2 linked regions of the Pelodiscus sinensis genome follow. The protein of the gene in region 2 binds, or shares a complex with, the protein of the main gene of each other region. Links are inferred from orthologs where the notes say so. Each region holds a gene or a part of one and is shown on either strand. Other genes may lie near its edges.

Region 1 (6,962 bases), on a different chromosome or scaffold from region 2:
CTATAAAACTGTCCAGGACATTTCTTGTTGATCTTAGTCTCTGGTCTTTATATGGGAATCTTACCTCACTGAAGTGTATTTGTAAGGTTTAATTAAGGTCTCTAAAAGTTTGACAAAAAGCACTATAAAAATGCCAAATTCTAGTAATTGTATTAAAATTACCTATATTTCCAATTATATAATAGCAAATGTTTTGCTCTTTTCTCTTAGAGAGTGTCATCATTCATCAGTTACGCATGAACTCTAGATGAGATACAATACGCAATGCATTCTGTATGTGTGCACTTCCTCTCCACACCAGTTGGATGGATCACTGTTGATGCCCTCTACCACTGTCACCATGGTCTCCTGTGCTACTGATCACTTACAGAAGTATTTTAGAACTTCTTTGGATTATTCTGAATTATTTGTAGAGTTTTTAAAAGTAATGGCCTTGTTGATACTTTGAAAATATGTAGAGAAAAACAGTCAAGGTGTCAACTGAATGTTACTCTTATTTTGCAAAACATGAGGCACCTGCTTGATTTTGTTTGGTGGTGTTTGCTATATAATTTATTTTTATAAAACACATTAATGTAACTTTCCCCAAACCTTCCAATTGCTACTGTCCATTGCACATTAATTTGTAGAATACACTGTCAAAATTCTCTGTATTGATATTTTTGTATTAAAGACAGTAAAAAAAAAGTTAAGTTTTAATCCCAAAAGTGCTTTAAAAAAACACAAAAAAAGTGTGAAACACATTTTCCTGTCATTAGACTGAGAGACTAAATGCTCACGGGACTGCCATATAGGGTATACTGTTATAGAATTTTTCTTGCACTGTGCAGAGGTTCAACATAAAAATGAGTGCTAACAAACCAAAGCTCTGGACTACTATCTGATTTTAAAGATTCATTTTAAACATTGTAAACAAGTTTTCATGAACCTTGATGATGATTATTTTACAATGTGTTTTTACTTCTGCCTGTACTGAAAAAAATCAATTTTCATCACACTGTAACAAATAAATTTTCACAAGAATGCAAATGTAACCAAGTGTTTGGATTGTGACACAAGTGCCGTAAGGCTGACAGTATTGAAGTTCACCTTTTTCGTTTTACTTTATAGAAATTGCTACTGCTAAAAAAAAAAAAAAAAAGAAATTGCGTGGTTTTTGTAGTTACCTTCTTTAGGCTGGTATTTCATTACAATATCACAGTGTATACTACATGCATAATAAAACTGATCCAGAGATTATCAAAGCTCTGAAGAAAGATAATCATCTGGCAAAATTAATGATGACATTGTTTCTACCTTTGAGTTTATACCATCAACTATCACAATACAATCTCCTTATATAGATTTAAAGACAGCCAAACGATCATATAACAAGATTTCATGTATGCCACTGTAAAATGAACTTAAATTTTACATCAGTGGCCCTTTGATGATTAATACAGCAATCTAAAGAATCATAATGAAAATTCAGTGGCAGCTACATTTAAAATGAATTATAGATATGAATACATAATCTGTATATCATCCCTCATGCTATTTATTTTTTTAATAAATTAATTTTATTTTAAATTTTCCCCATATTTCAGATTTTTTTATTGTTAGAGTATAATGGTAGCGTAAAGTGATTGAGGAAACTGGAACATTGGGCTGCTGAATAGGGACTACTGGGTTTCTTGTCACTTGGGGATCTGGTTTGAGATTTTGAGTCAAGCATATTAATGGGTTTTTTTGCTAAAATGCTCAGAAGTGAAATAGCTAGCAATTACACCTTAGTAAATGTAAACATCTCACTGGGCTTTTCAGCAGCAGATAATGGAGCAGTAGTCATTCAGATAATCTTTTCAAGGTTATTGTACAACCATTGAAGCTGGATTTCTTGCCGTTTTTTTAAAGGAAAAACTTTATTCTGGTACACGATTCTGCTGGGAGTGAGAAAAGGAGGATTCTGCAGCATAAGCTGCAGAATAAGACAGAGATGCATATGGGAAAGTTATGACATCCTGAAATTACACAGTATATTTCAATTTCCTTACACAGAGCTGAAGAAATATTAACTTCCAGTGTAAAACAGCAATAAGAATCAGACCCATACATGTGTCATTGATTTCTATCAAGTTACACCAGCACAAAATTGGAATTAACATAGTGGTGAACCAAGCCCATTGTCTTAAAGACACATTACTTGTTGTCAATGAATAATCATCTGAGGTAAGAACTAATTTGACTTAATCTGTCACAAACCTGACAGCTTTTTGAAAAATACAGCAGCACTACTGAAATAGTTCTGTTTTAATAGTAGTTTTAACTTTCTGTTGGGTAAAACTTTTATCTGGGTTTAAAAACAGTATAAAAATATCAACTGAGTGGAGGCACTCTAGCTCTGTGCTGGAGCTTGAGGGCTGTGGCCCAGGGACCGTGGCTAGGGGCAGAATTTCTCTCTGCTCTTAGGATGTAATGAGGGGGCGGGGAGTGCAATGGGGCTGTGGATGGAGCGGGGCAGGGACATGGGGGGAAAGGACAGAATGGAGTGGTGCCATGGGCAGGCATAACAAGAGTGGGACTGCAAGTAAAAGGAGGGGGAAAATCTCTCCCCCCCCCCACCCCGGCCCAGCCATCCAGCAGCCCTATTCCGCTTCTAACCAGATCGACCTTGGGCAGCTCACACAGGCACAAAGCGAGATTCAGTCCTACGCATGCATGCACACACACCCTAACGTGTCTGTGCATCTGCACAGGGCAACCACTGCCATTCCTAATGCAGTGTAATATAAGAATAGCCATACTGGGTCCATCTAACCCAGCAGCCTGTCTGATTACAATGGCCAATACCAGATGCCCCAGAAAGAGTGAACATAACTGGTAATCATCATGATCCCTCAGTCAGGGGTGGCCTGTCCATATAGGTGAACTAGGCGGTCGCCTAGGGTGCCAAGTTATATGGGGTGCCAAATGGTGGTGCAATATTGTTGAGGGGTTTGGAGATGGGGGCGCCGATTGCATGGTTCGCCTAGGGTGCCTGTTGCTGGCAGCTAGACTAGGGCCGCCCTTGATCCCTCTCATGAAATCCATTTCCAAACAGAGGCTAAGGACGCCATTCCTACCCATCCTGGCTAATAGCCCTTGATGGACTTAACCGCCATGAATTTTAACCTTCATGAATTCTAGCTCTTTTCTGAATCCTGTTAAAATCCGTGGCTACGTCTACACTGGCCCCTTTTCCGGAAGGGGCATGTAAATTTCACCAGTCGTCGTAGGGAAATCCGCGGGGGATTTAAATATCCCCCGCGGCATTTAAATAAAAATGTCCGCCGCTTTTTTCCGGCTTTTAAAAAAGCCGGAAAAGAGCGTCTAGACTGGCCCCGATCCTCCGGAAAATGTGCCCTTTTCCGGAGGGTCTTATTCCTACTTTTTCCGGAGGATCGGGGCCAGTGTAGACGCTCTTTTCCGGCTTTTTTAAAAGCCGGAAAAAAGCGGCGGACATTTTTATTTAAATGCCGCGGGGGATATTTAAATCCCCCGCGGATTTCCCTACGACGACTGGTGAAATTTACATGCCCCTTCCGGAAAAGGGGCAGTGTAGATGTAGCCCTAGTCTTCACAACATCCTTTGGCAAGTAGTTCCACAGGTGGGCAGTACAGGACACAGCGTGCCACAACCTACTGACACGTGCAGCGCAGTCACGTGCAGCCTCCCACTGGAGCGAATGTCCCCACCGGGAAGGGAGGAGAGATTCCGCGTGCCTGAGAGTATCTCCAGCACGCTGCTCCTGCCAACTACGCTTCCAGCAGTCGCTCGCGCTCTCTGTGCGCATGCGCTGTTTTGGCTCATGGGCAGGGAGTGCCGGCTGTGCCGGAAGCAGGGACCATGGAACCTATCGTCATTGATTGTGCGCCCCAGATCCAAGCCCCAGCCTCGCCCATTGCGGCGACGCATGCGCAGGTTTATGGGGGGTGGACGGAAGTTGTCCTCGGTCACCCGGCGGTGAGGGGAGCTGGTGACGTTTGGTTGTTGTCAGTGGCTCCGCGGCTGCGGAACTGTCCCCTTCTCCGCGCGCAGGCGCAGTTCTCTCCCACTCGTCCCTGGCCCGAGCGGAGGCGGCCCCGGTTCCCGAGCGGAGCGCCGTCTGCTCCCCCTCCTCAGCCCCATGGCGGTGAACTACAACGCGAAGGAGGAGGCGGACGGGCACCCGTCGGGAGTGGGGGCCGCGGGCGGCGGGCCCGGCGGCGGGGCGGGGAAGAGCCGCAAGCCGGATAACACGGCCTTCAAGCAGCAGCGCCTGCCGGCCTGGCAGCCCATCCTGACCGCGGGCACCGTGCTGCCCGCCTTCTTCATCATCGGCCTCATCTTCATCCCCATCGGCATCGGCATCTTCGTCACCTCCAACAACATCCGCGAGTACGAGGTGAGGGCCGGGCGGGGCGCGGCCTCTTGAGGCCGTTACGGGCCCTGGGTCTCCCTGCCCGGGAGAAGGGGGAGAGATGAGACGCGGGGCGGCTTTGCCCTGTGCGGGGAACACTCCCCTACGGCGGGTACCGGCTCTGGGAGGTCGCGGACGATGGCGGGGAGGCCGGTCTGAGCTCACCCTCGTCTCCTGGTGAAACCTGGGCAGAGGCTGAGTGGGGCAATCTCGAGAGCAGGAATTTCGGAAAAGGAAGCCGGACTTTCTAAAACCAAAATGCAGGACAATGTAGCACTTTAAAGACTAACAAGATGGTTTATTAGATGATGAGCTTTCGTGGGCCAGACCCACTTCCTCAGATCAAATAGTGGAAGAAAATAGTCACAACCATATATACCAAAGGATACAATTAAAAAAAATGAACACATATGAAAAGGACAAATCACATTTCAGAACAGGAGAGGGATGTGGGGGGGGGGGGGGGAGAAGGAAGGAAGGTAAGTGTCTGTCAATTGATGATATTAGAGGTGGGGAGAGTGGGATGTCTGTGAGCTAATGGTATTAGAGGTGATAATTGGGGAAGCTATCTTGGTAATGGGTAAGATAGTTGGAGTGTTTGTTCATTCCTTCTCGGAGATTGTCGAATTTTAACATGAATGACAGTTCAGAGGATTCCCTTTCAAGTGCAGATGTAAAAGGTCTTTGTAGCAGAATGTAGGTGGTTAAGTCATTGAGAGAGTGTCCTTTCTGGTTAAAATGGCAAGAAACTGTTTTTTCTTTGTGATCTTGTCTGATATCTGTTTTGTGGGCATTAATCCTTTGGCGAAGTGTCTGAGATGTTTGTCCAATGTACATAGCAGATGGACACTTTCGGCACATGATAGCATAGATTATATTTCTGGATGCGCAGGAATATGTGTTCTTGATCTTATAACTCACTTGGTTAGGTCCAATAATGGTATCAGCAGAATGAATATGTGGACAAAGCTGGCAACGGGGTTTGTTGCAAGGGAAGGTACCAGGGTTGGTATTAGTGTGGTATGTCCTGTGGTTGTTGGTAAGAATCATCTTGAGGTTAGGTGGTTGTCTATAGGAGACTATGGGTCTGTCTCCCAGAGCCTCTTGGAGTATGGTATCCTGTTCCAGTATAGGCTGTAGTTTATTGATAATGTGTTGGACAGGTTTAAGTTGGGGGTTGTAGGTGATGACAAGTGGTGTTCTATTGTTGGTTTTCTTGGGTCTGTCTTGAAGTAGATGGTTTCTAGGTATTCGTCTGGCTCTGTCAATTTGCTTTTTTATTTCTCCGGGTGGGTAGTTGAGGTTTATAAATGCTTGGTAGAGATCCTGAAGCTTCTGGTCTCTGTCAGTGGGATTAGAGCAGATGCGGTTGTATCGAAGGGCTTGGCTATAGACGATGGATCGTGTGGTGTGTTCTGGATGGGAGCTGGAAGCATGTAGGTAACTGTATGAGTCGGTGGGTTTTCTGTAGAGAGTGGTGTCTAATTTTCCATTGTTGAGTTGTACTGTGGTGTCCAGGAAGTGGATCTCTCGTGTAGAATGGTCCAGGCTGAGGTTGATGGTGGGGTGTAGGTTGTTGAAATCTCTGTGGAATATCTCCAGTGTTTCTTGGCCATGCGTCCAGATCATAAAGATGTCATCGATGTACCGTAAGTAGAGAAGGGGTGAAAGGGGACGGGAGTTGAGGAAACGTTCTAGGTCAGCCATAAAGATGTTAGCATACTGTGGGGCTATGCGTGTACCCATGGCTGTGCCGCTGATCTGGAGGTATAAGTTGTTCTCAAACTGGAAATAATTGTGGGTGAGAACAAAGTTACATAAGTCTGCTATCAGGTTGGCAGTAGTGTCCTCTGGGATAGTGTTTCTAATTGCTTGTAATCCGTCTTCATGTGGGATGTTGGTATATAGAGCTTCTACATCCATTCTACATTCTAAAACCAGGCAGACTTCTGGGAAATGCCCTGTAGGGAGCCTGGCTGCGCTGGCCTCAGGTGATGAGGGAGGGAGGGAATGGGAGCTAATGGGTCTCTACCGTCTCTAGTTTACCTTATTATGGTGCATCTCCTATGTCGCTTTCAAGCACACACAGAAAAATTCTTCATCCCTAGCCTGGGCAATAACTGGAAGATCCAATCATCTTTGTGAAGCATCTTTGCGAAGCATCTTTTCCCCCATACCAGGGTCAGGTGAGGTAGCTTTAGGTAGTAAGGCAGTAACCCTATAGGATTACAGAGGTTACAGAAACATAGATTGCTGGTTTGTTCTGCTTTTCCGCTGGACATTGCTAGATCATCCTGTCTTTTCATCCTCTTACGGTTAATGTGGTTTTGGAGGTGAAGAAATGGCTTCTGTAGGAAATGACTCTTGTCAATTTAGTCAAATATCAACATTTTAAAATAACTTGTTCTGAATCTACCACAGTATGTTCTTACCTCCTACTTTAGTCAGTGCAAGAAATAAACATTAGAGATGACCTTGCCTATGAGTATACTCCCTTGATACTGATTTCTCCAGTCTGGTCAGCATACCCTTCAAGATCTGCAC
Region 2 (7,139 bases):
CAGTCAATGTTTTCTTCAGATCGCCCCACCATCACAAGTAGGATGCACCAATCATTTATTAAACACTCCCTAAAATATAGTGAAGAGCTGCTATTATCATTAGAGTTTGAACTTCCATTTCTACATTCACTGTATTGTAAAGTCTTCTAGGTAGGGACTATCTGCCTATGGCTGTACAGCACAAAATTACACTGTTGACACTTAAAATACCACTAATAAAAACTGTTTGTACGTAAGTGAAATACACTACACTTGTGACCCACAGAAAAGTTACATGAACCCTACTAAGAGATTCAATTAAAAAAATGACTCCCCTCCTGTGAAACTAATTATTTGATAATGTAATATAGTTATTTTATTAGAGAATATGACTTAGCCCAGTGGTGGGCAACCTGCCACCTCAGGGCTACCTGTGGTCCCTCAGGTTCTGTGTGTGGCCTGTGAGACCTTATGTTTACCGTTACCTATGCACAGAGTTGCCAGATCCCGCTGGCTGGGTAGGTTTTTTCCTTACTTGTATTACTGAAGTGACATGCACATAAACCAAAGACACATGGGCTAACTGCATACAACATTGACTGTGAGCTTCCTCTACATCCAGTCAAAGTGCTGCTATGGTTTAACTGGAACATCCTGCAAATTCTAGGAATACAAGCGCAGTTAGCAAACTACCCTATCCCAGGAGACCATCTTAGTTACAACAATATGCTGCCCATTCACTAGTCTAGGCTTCTCATCGCTGGCTTAGCCTGAAATTCATATAATGTGTAAGCCTTTATATAACCTTTACATTTGGTCAAAATATTAAACATCGTCACTCCGGGATTTCTCATTTCCTTAAGTGAATAAAAAGGAAGAAAACAATCGCTTAGTCGACATAGGAATTAATATCCTGTAGCATTTTCTTCCTTTGTTATGTTGTTGTGCTTTATATAAAGTTGTGCAGATCAAAATTGCTGCAGTCACAATGGAATCAGGCAATCCTTTTCATATTAAAAGAAAATGAAAAGTTATTACAATGAGCTCAAGAAGTAGAGAGTCTTTAAAAAAATAAAATAAAATGTAATGGAGCATATACAGTTACATACAAACAACAAATTCTGGAGTCAAAGCAGTTGCATCATAATTTGCCTTTGTCCACCCAGTACAGGGAGGAGAATGACGTTCATTTCTCTATTGTGCAGGCAGACGGGATTGAAAAGACATTTGAAAACAAACACCAGTTTTGCTTTTTTTTTTTTTATTTCATTTCCTCCTCCACTTAGGCAACATATCAATGCAGTGCGCTTCTCCATTGAGTTAATGTTTACTTTAAAATGTGATCATTCTGAAAATGAATCAGAACTGGCAGGTGTACTGGTCATTTACCCAATCACGCAGGTCTGTGCGCGCACTGGAGGAGATTAGTGAATTACACCCAGGGAAAAAATAGATATTTTGGCATTACACTATACAAGCTCTATTAATACAATACAATAATAGAATACTAGAAATGTAAGTGATCTTGAGAGTAAGTCAATAGAATACTAGAATTGTAAGTCTTCAAGTCCAGTCCCCTGCCCTCACAGCAGCACCAAAAAGGGTCTATATCATCCCTGATAGCTACAGATCTAACTTGCTCTTAAATATCTCCAGTGAAGAAGATTCCACAACCTCCCTAGGCAATTTATTCCAGCGTTTAACCATCCTGACAGTTAAGAAGTTTTTCCTGGTATCCAACCTTGCTCCCTTGCTGCAGTTTAAGCCCATTGCTTCTTATCCTATCATCAGCCGTCAAGGAAAACAATTTTTCTCCCTCTTCCCTGTAACACCCTTTTAGGTTAGTTAACTATTATGTAACGTTAAATATCTAGTTTAGTTTATGAATGGCCTCCAGACATCCTCTGTACCTTAGTTACAGAAATCTGGGAGATGTAGATAACTAGCGCACATGTCTGGAGAGAGAGATAAACGCTGAAGGGGGACAGCCCTTGCACCTTGAATCTGGCTGGGACCTGTTTGGATTCCTGTCAAAGAGCTACCAGAACCAGTTTGGCTTTTCTCTCGCGGTGGGCTGCGCGGCTCTAAAGTTCAGTTAGGGAATCAAGCAGAGCCACCGCTTGGCCTGGGAGCCTCCAGCCTTTCCCTGGCACTCCTGCCTTGGCTGTCTCAGGTCCGGGCAAGCCAACGGGAACAGCACTCGGGGAAGGCAGCCAGGGATGCGGAGAGCCCTGGAACCAAACAGTGACCCCGCCTGGGAATCGCTCCAATCCAGGGAGGTGCTGCAGCACCTAGGAAGCGAACCCCGCAGGAGCTCTAGGAAAGTTAGAGCCACTCGCCCGGGGTGGAGCTCTGGGGCGGCAGGAGCAGGGCCAGGTGCTCAGGCGGAGCGTGCTCCGGAGCGCACAGCTGCTGTGGGCTCGGGGAGAACCGCCTTCCCCTCTCCCCCGGGGGCTCGGTCCTCACGCCCCGCACCCCGCCTGGCGAGCCGCCGCGCCTGCCCCCCAAGCTACCCACACCCCCTCCAGCCCCGGTGCGAGACGCGCAGCGCCCCGCCTCCGCAGCCCCCTCACCTCTCGCTGGAACTCGGGCCCCGGCCGCTCGGGGCAGCTTCCCGCCCTACACCTTGCACGCTCGCCCCGCTTGCTGCACGCCAGCTGCTCTCCCCAGCCCTCCAATGGCGCGCGGCTCCCCGCCTCGCTTGGCAAGCGGGCTCAGCACCGGCCAAACGAGTTCCTCAACTCTGCACAAGGTGCCTGGCCGCGCGCAGGAAGGTGAGCGCCGGCTGAAGGTGTGTGGCGGGGGTGGCTTACTCCTTGGGACTCATCCTCCCTTGGCGGGGTGGAGGGGGAACCCACCTCTGCCGCAGCTGCCCTCACTAAGCCCTTCCCCTAGCCCGGGGACAGCCCACGTGACTCCCAGGTACTAACAGCGGCCACCGGGGCAGGAGACATCCCCCTTTCCCCAGCCCCGTAGCCAGGGGAGCGGCCTGCGCTCGGGTTACACGCTGGGAGCGCTCCCCCTGGAGAGCGGCGCTAGCAGCTAGGTAGAGCCATGCCCGCTCCTCCTGGGCCCACCTTATTGTCTGTGCCTCAAGGTTCTCAGCCGCGCTCAGCCTGGCCTTGAGCCCTGCTTGGTTAGAAATCCGGACAGCGCCAGAATCATCCGAGGCATTTACTCATCTTTGTGTACCCCACTCCCTCCACCTGTCTCAGTTACCTCATTCGGGACTTTCTTGTAGGTGGGAGCTGCCTGGTTTTTGTTTCTCTTTGAAAGAAGGGGAACTAAACCCCGGGCTCTCTCTTTCCCAAGGTTTTGTTTTGGTTTGGTTTTTTACATTTGCATCTAATTATCTGCGGGGAAAGAAGCGAGGGGTTGTTTTGTTTTAGGCTTTTTTTTTTTTAAAGGTCCTTCAGGTTTCAGATCCAGTGAAACGTGTGAAGAGCTACATCCGTTTGATATTAGCCCCAATCCTGTACAGCCTGAAAATTGTAATCTTTCTCTTCAAAAGCACCCTTCTTGAAAATGGTTTTGGCAAAAAGCAGAGTGTTGGCTGAGCCAAAAATACAACTCGGTTGTGTCCTGGTATCAGAAATTTGAATGTTAAAGGGGCATGCAAAGAAGAAACAGAAAGAATTGTGGGTATTTTGCTTTTCTATAATGGTTTCAATAGCTCTGGAATTATTTTTTCAAAATATTTTACTTACCTGGTTTTTTCCCCTTAGAAATATCAAACCTGGTCTTCCTTACTTTTTTTTTCCTGAAAGACTTCCCTACATTAAAAGTGATAGAAATGTAGCGGTGTTAGTCTGTTGTAGCTGAAACAAAATACAGGACTATGTAGCACTTTAAAGACTAACAAGATGGTTTATTAGGTGATGAGCTTTCGTGGGCCAGACTCACTTCCTCAGATCAAATAGTGGAAGAAAATTGTCACAACCATATTTTTTCCACTATTTGATCTGAGGAAGTGGGTCTGGCCCATGAAAGCTCATCACCTAATAACCATCTTGTTAGTCTTTAAAGTGCTACATAGTCCTGTATTTTGTTTCAGCTACATTAAAAGGTATGTTGTGATTAAAGATGTTTAGCTGCTCAAAGATTGCTGTGATAGGAACCATATAAATACTTCACATATCTGATAGATATTAAATAACTATCAAAACTGTACTCCATTTTTAAATAACCTGTTTAAAATTCACTTCCTTTCACAATTAGTTAGATGGCACTTCCTCGTTGCTTTTGATGATGTCACAATCTCACTAGAGTCCTCCATCAAAGAAGCTAAAAGAAAAAAAGACACACATTTTAATTTTTTTTGTTGTTTTCATTTTGAAAGCCTTTATTGGGCTAATAAACAGTTTAACCCACTTATAACAAATTTTGGAGATCTTAAAGGCTGAAACAAAATGTCTTTTGCAACCGAGATGGAGCTCAATTGTGTTCAGTTAGATCCTGAATATAGTGCTGTGAATTATTTTATTGTGAACCTTGCCATATTTGGTGTTTTTCTTGTAATTATATGGGATTTAGATTTCATTACAAAAAAGTTTCTAGTTTTTGTAGTTGTGAAGAAAGTTTGTAAATAAACTATAGGTACCTTAAAGACTCAATCTGCAAAAAAAAGAGTCTCCAATATGTTATGTTTAAGACAATTGGAGGGGTCTGACTTACGGTTTTTGGACAATTGGGGTGCCAATTGTTTTGTACTGGCATTACTCTGGGGGTTGGCAATTCTGCGAGTGTGTTGTGAATAGTTTGTTTATTCACTTGCAACTCTTTCTTGCTCTGTTTTCAGGTATTCTTTGTTTTGGATGAATTCTGAAGTTAAACATAAAACATTTTGAAAAGAGAATGCAGATTCCTTAAATGAAACAGACAAAAAGTACCGAGAGTAAATTTATAGCAAAAGACTTTCATAAGAATTCAGTGGGAGGTCTTGGGTACTAAATCCTTTTGAGAACCCAGCTAGTGATGTCCCTGACCCTAAATTTGACAGCCTAAGGCACTTTCATATTGTTTAATCTGCAGGTCAGCATGTCCGGAAATAATGTTACACATGCTTCCAAGGTGGCCTAAAGAAGAGGTCTCTGTAGGTAAAAGCTTCTCTCTTTCACCAGCATATACTGAGTCAGTGAAAGAGATTACCTCACCTACCTTGCCGTTCTTCCAGGAAATACTCAGGTAAGAGCCCCTTACCAACAAACTTCTTATTTAGACTTTAAGAATAATAGAGGCACTCAATAAGTGCTCTCTAATATAAGTGCTGTACTAAATCCACATTAATACAAACACATACAATGATGGGAAGTGTACATTTTACATTGGGGGTAGCGGAACCTTTTTTGGTTCAGGGGACCATTGATCCACAGAAAAATTAGTCAGAGGCTGCACACAAGTGAGAAGGCAAAAAACCAACAACCTGAAAAAAAACCCCACAACCTCACTGATGTGGCCCCTGACTGAGAAGGAGAAAGATACTTCCCACATTCCCCTCGCACACTGGAACCTCATGTGCTCCAGCTCCACAGGGAGTTGGCGGGGGGGGGGGGGGGGAGGGTCCTAGAACACCAAACACAGACTCCCCACTGCTGGGGAAGAGCGCTGAGCCCCGGGGTCCAGATCCAGGTGAGCCGCATCCGGCCCCTGGGCCTTAGGCTTCCCACTCCTGTTTTACATGCTACCTAAGATACATAACAGATAGGATAATGAGAATGTGTTAACTATAATTATCATGTAATTATTTAAGTGCCAACAGTATGTTCAATACGGTATAGAAACAAATACAGTTTCTGCTCCAAGGTGTTTACAAGATCTTCTTACGCTGAAGTAAAAACAAGATCAAAACTACACAAAGGCCACAATGATAAAATAAATATTAAACCTTTACTGTAAATAGATAATCCCACTCACACTTCTAGTCCACCATTTACATGATAGGTACTTATAGCACTATTGTTTTCCCCCCAACATGTCAAAGTATTTGCTGACACTAAGTTTTGATAAGTCATCTGGTATCTTGTTTGCAGTGGTTTCTGATGACTCAGTGCACTAGCAATTATTTTTGTTACCAAATTTATTCATACTCATTTCAACAAAATTTGCTTAACTTCCTTATGAAACATTATGCTGTTTCCATTGCTAGAGATTCATCAGTTGCTAGAGTCTGGATTTTATTCCACAATCCCATGTTTTCTGTAACCATTTCCAGTGATCAGAGGACATGGCATGGAACTGTCATCAGAAAGATAGAAGAAAATTCAGAAAATGATATGATGGAACGTAGAAATTTGTGAAAATGAAAATGAGTGCAGAAATAGAAACAAGATGATGATGATGAGGAGACAGAATGTTGAGAGTAGAAAATATAGTAGGATAAAAGGGATGAGGAGTAGTAAGTGATAAAATAAAGTTAAAAACAAGGCATAGAAGTATTTGGAAAGAACCTAGCATACAGTGGTTGCTACCAAAATAAATACATAAATAATAAAGAAGACATTTGGAGAAGTAATGCCAAGTGAATGAATAAATGTGTTTTGTTTAACTGAACCCAATAATCAATCAACTGAACCCAATCAGTTAAGGATGTTTCAGAAGAAGGTGCTAGAAAATCCATAGCAGACAATTAAGGAAAAACTTAGGGGGAAGTTTCCTAACCCCTTTCTGTCTGTGTTTGGGTTATGCCTGGTGTTTCTAATATGTATGTAGCCTATACAATGTAACTATGGATGTTCTCAGTTGTCTTTATCCATCAAAACAGCTAATCCAAATCCTAATTATCTGAAACTTTTGGCCCCAATGATGGTTTGTGGCAATAAGATCCACACGTTAATTATGTTAATTTTTTTTAAAAAAATCCCTTTATCTGTGTTAAAATTTGTGACTTTCAGTTTCTCCCTTTTATAATGAGGTGATCAATGTGGTAATGAACTAGTAGCTGAACAATAATATGTGAGCAAAGGGCAGTGTGGTGATGTTCTACTGCTTTTCAATTTCCTCAATGAGGGAAATATGTCAGTGAGGAGGGAAAAGTTGTATGTCTGCTGAGAGAGAGTTTGAGACCTGGAAGGACAGATAGTGAAGAATAGAGTCAGTTGTTTCTGGTGAATGTCAGTAGTGAAGCTTTCTGGAATTGGCTGTGAGCAATTTGGTCTCGCTCG

The links. Proteins that work in one complex are often made in the same cells at the same time.
Region 1: the proteins of ATP8B1 (region 2) and TMEM30A are in contact, whole or in part, in a cryo-EM structure (PDB 7VGI), measured with the Homo sapiens proteins. The link is inferred for Pelodiscus sinensis from reciprocal best matches to the Homo sapiens genes ATP8B1 and TMEM30A. Residues at the interface, in NP_001361314.1 of Homo sapiens: Thr138, His359, Trp362, Glu363, Val366, Ser369, Ser370, Trp371, Tyr372, Leu373, Tyr374, Asp375, Gly376, Arg384, Ile388, Phe418, Asn420, Trp421, Asp422, Leu423, Tyr426, Lys430, Asp431, Thr432, Pro433, His939, Trp942, Arg946, Tyr968, Phe971; in NP_060717.1 of Homo sapiens: Lys24, Thr25, Arg26, Arg27, Pro28, Asn30, Phe33, Lys34, Gln35, Gln36, Arg37, Leu38, Pro39, Ala40, Trp41, Gln42, Pro43, Ile44, Leu45, Thr46, Ala47, Val50, Phe54, Ile57, Phe61, Ile64, Ile68, Ile75, Phe119, Tyr121.

Annotation. Positions count from the first base shown.
Region 1 is NC_134713.1:55,346,934-55,353,895, reverse strand, and holds the start of TMEM30A (cell cycle control protein 50A), read left to right. Parts: upstream 1-3,931; 5' UTR 3,932-4,145; coding exon 4,146-4,403; intron 4,404-6,962. UniProt on the Homo sapiens protein: Accessory component of a P4-ATPase flippase complex which catalyzes the hydrolysis of ATP coupled to the transport of aminophospholipids from the outer to the inner leaflet of various membranes and ensures the maintenance of asymmetric distribution of phospholipids.
Region 2 is NC_134716.1:110,413,895-110,421,033, reverse strand, and holds the start of ATP8B1 (phospholipid-transporting ATPase IC), read right to left. Parts: upstream 3,049-7,139; 5' UTR 2,553-3,048; intron 1-2,552. UniProt on the Homo sapiens protein: Catalytic component of a P4-ATPase flippase complex which catalyzes the hydrolysis of ATP coupled to the transport of phospholipids, in particular phosphatidylcholines (PC), from the outer to the inner leaflet of the plasma membrane.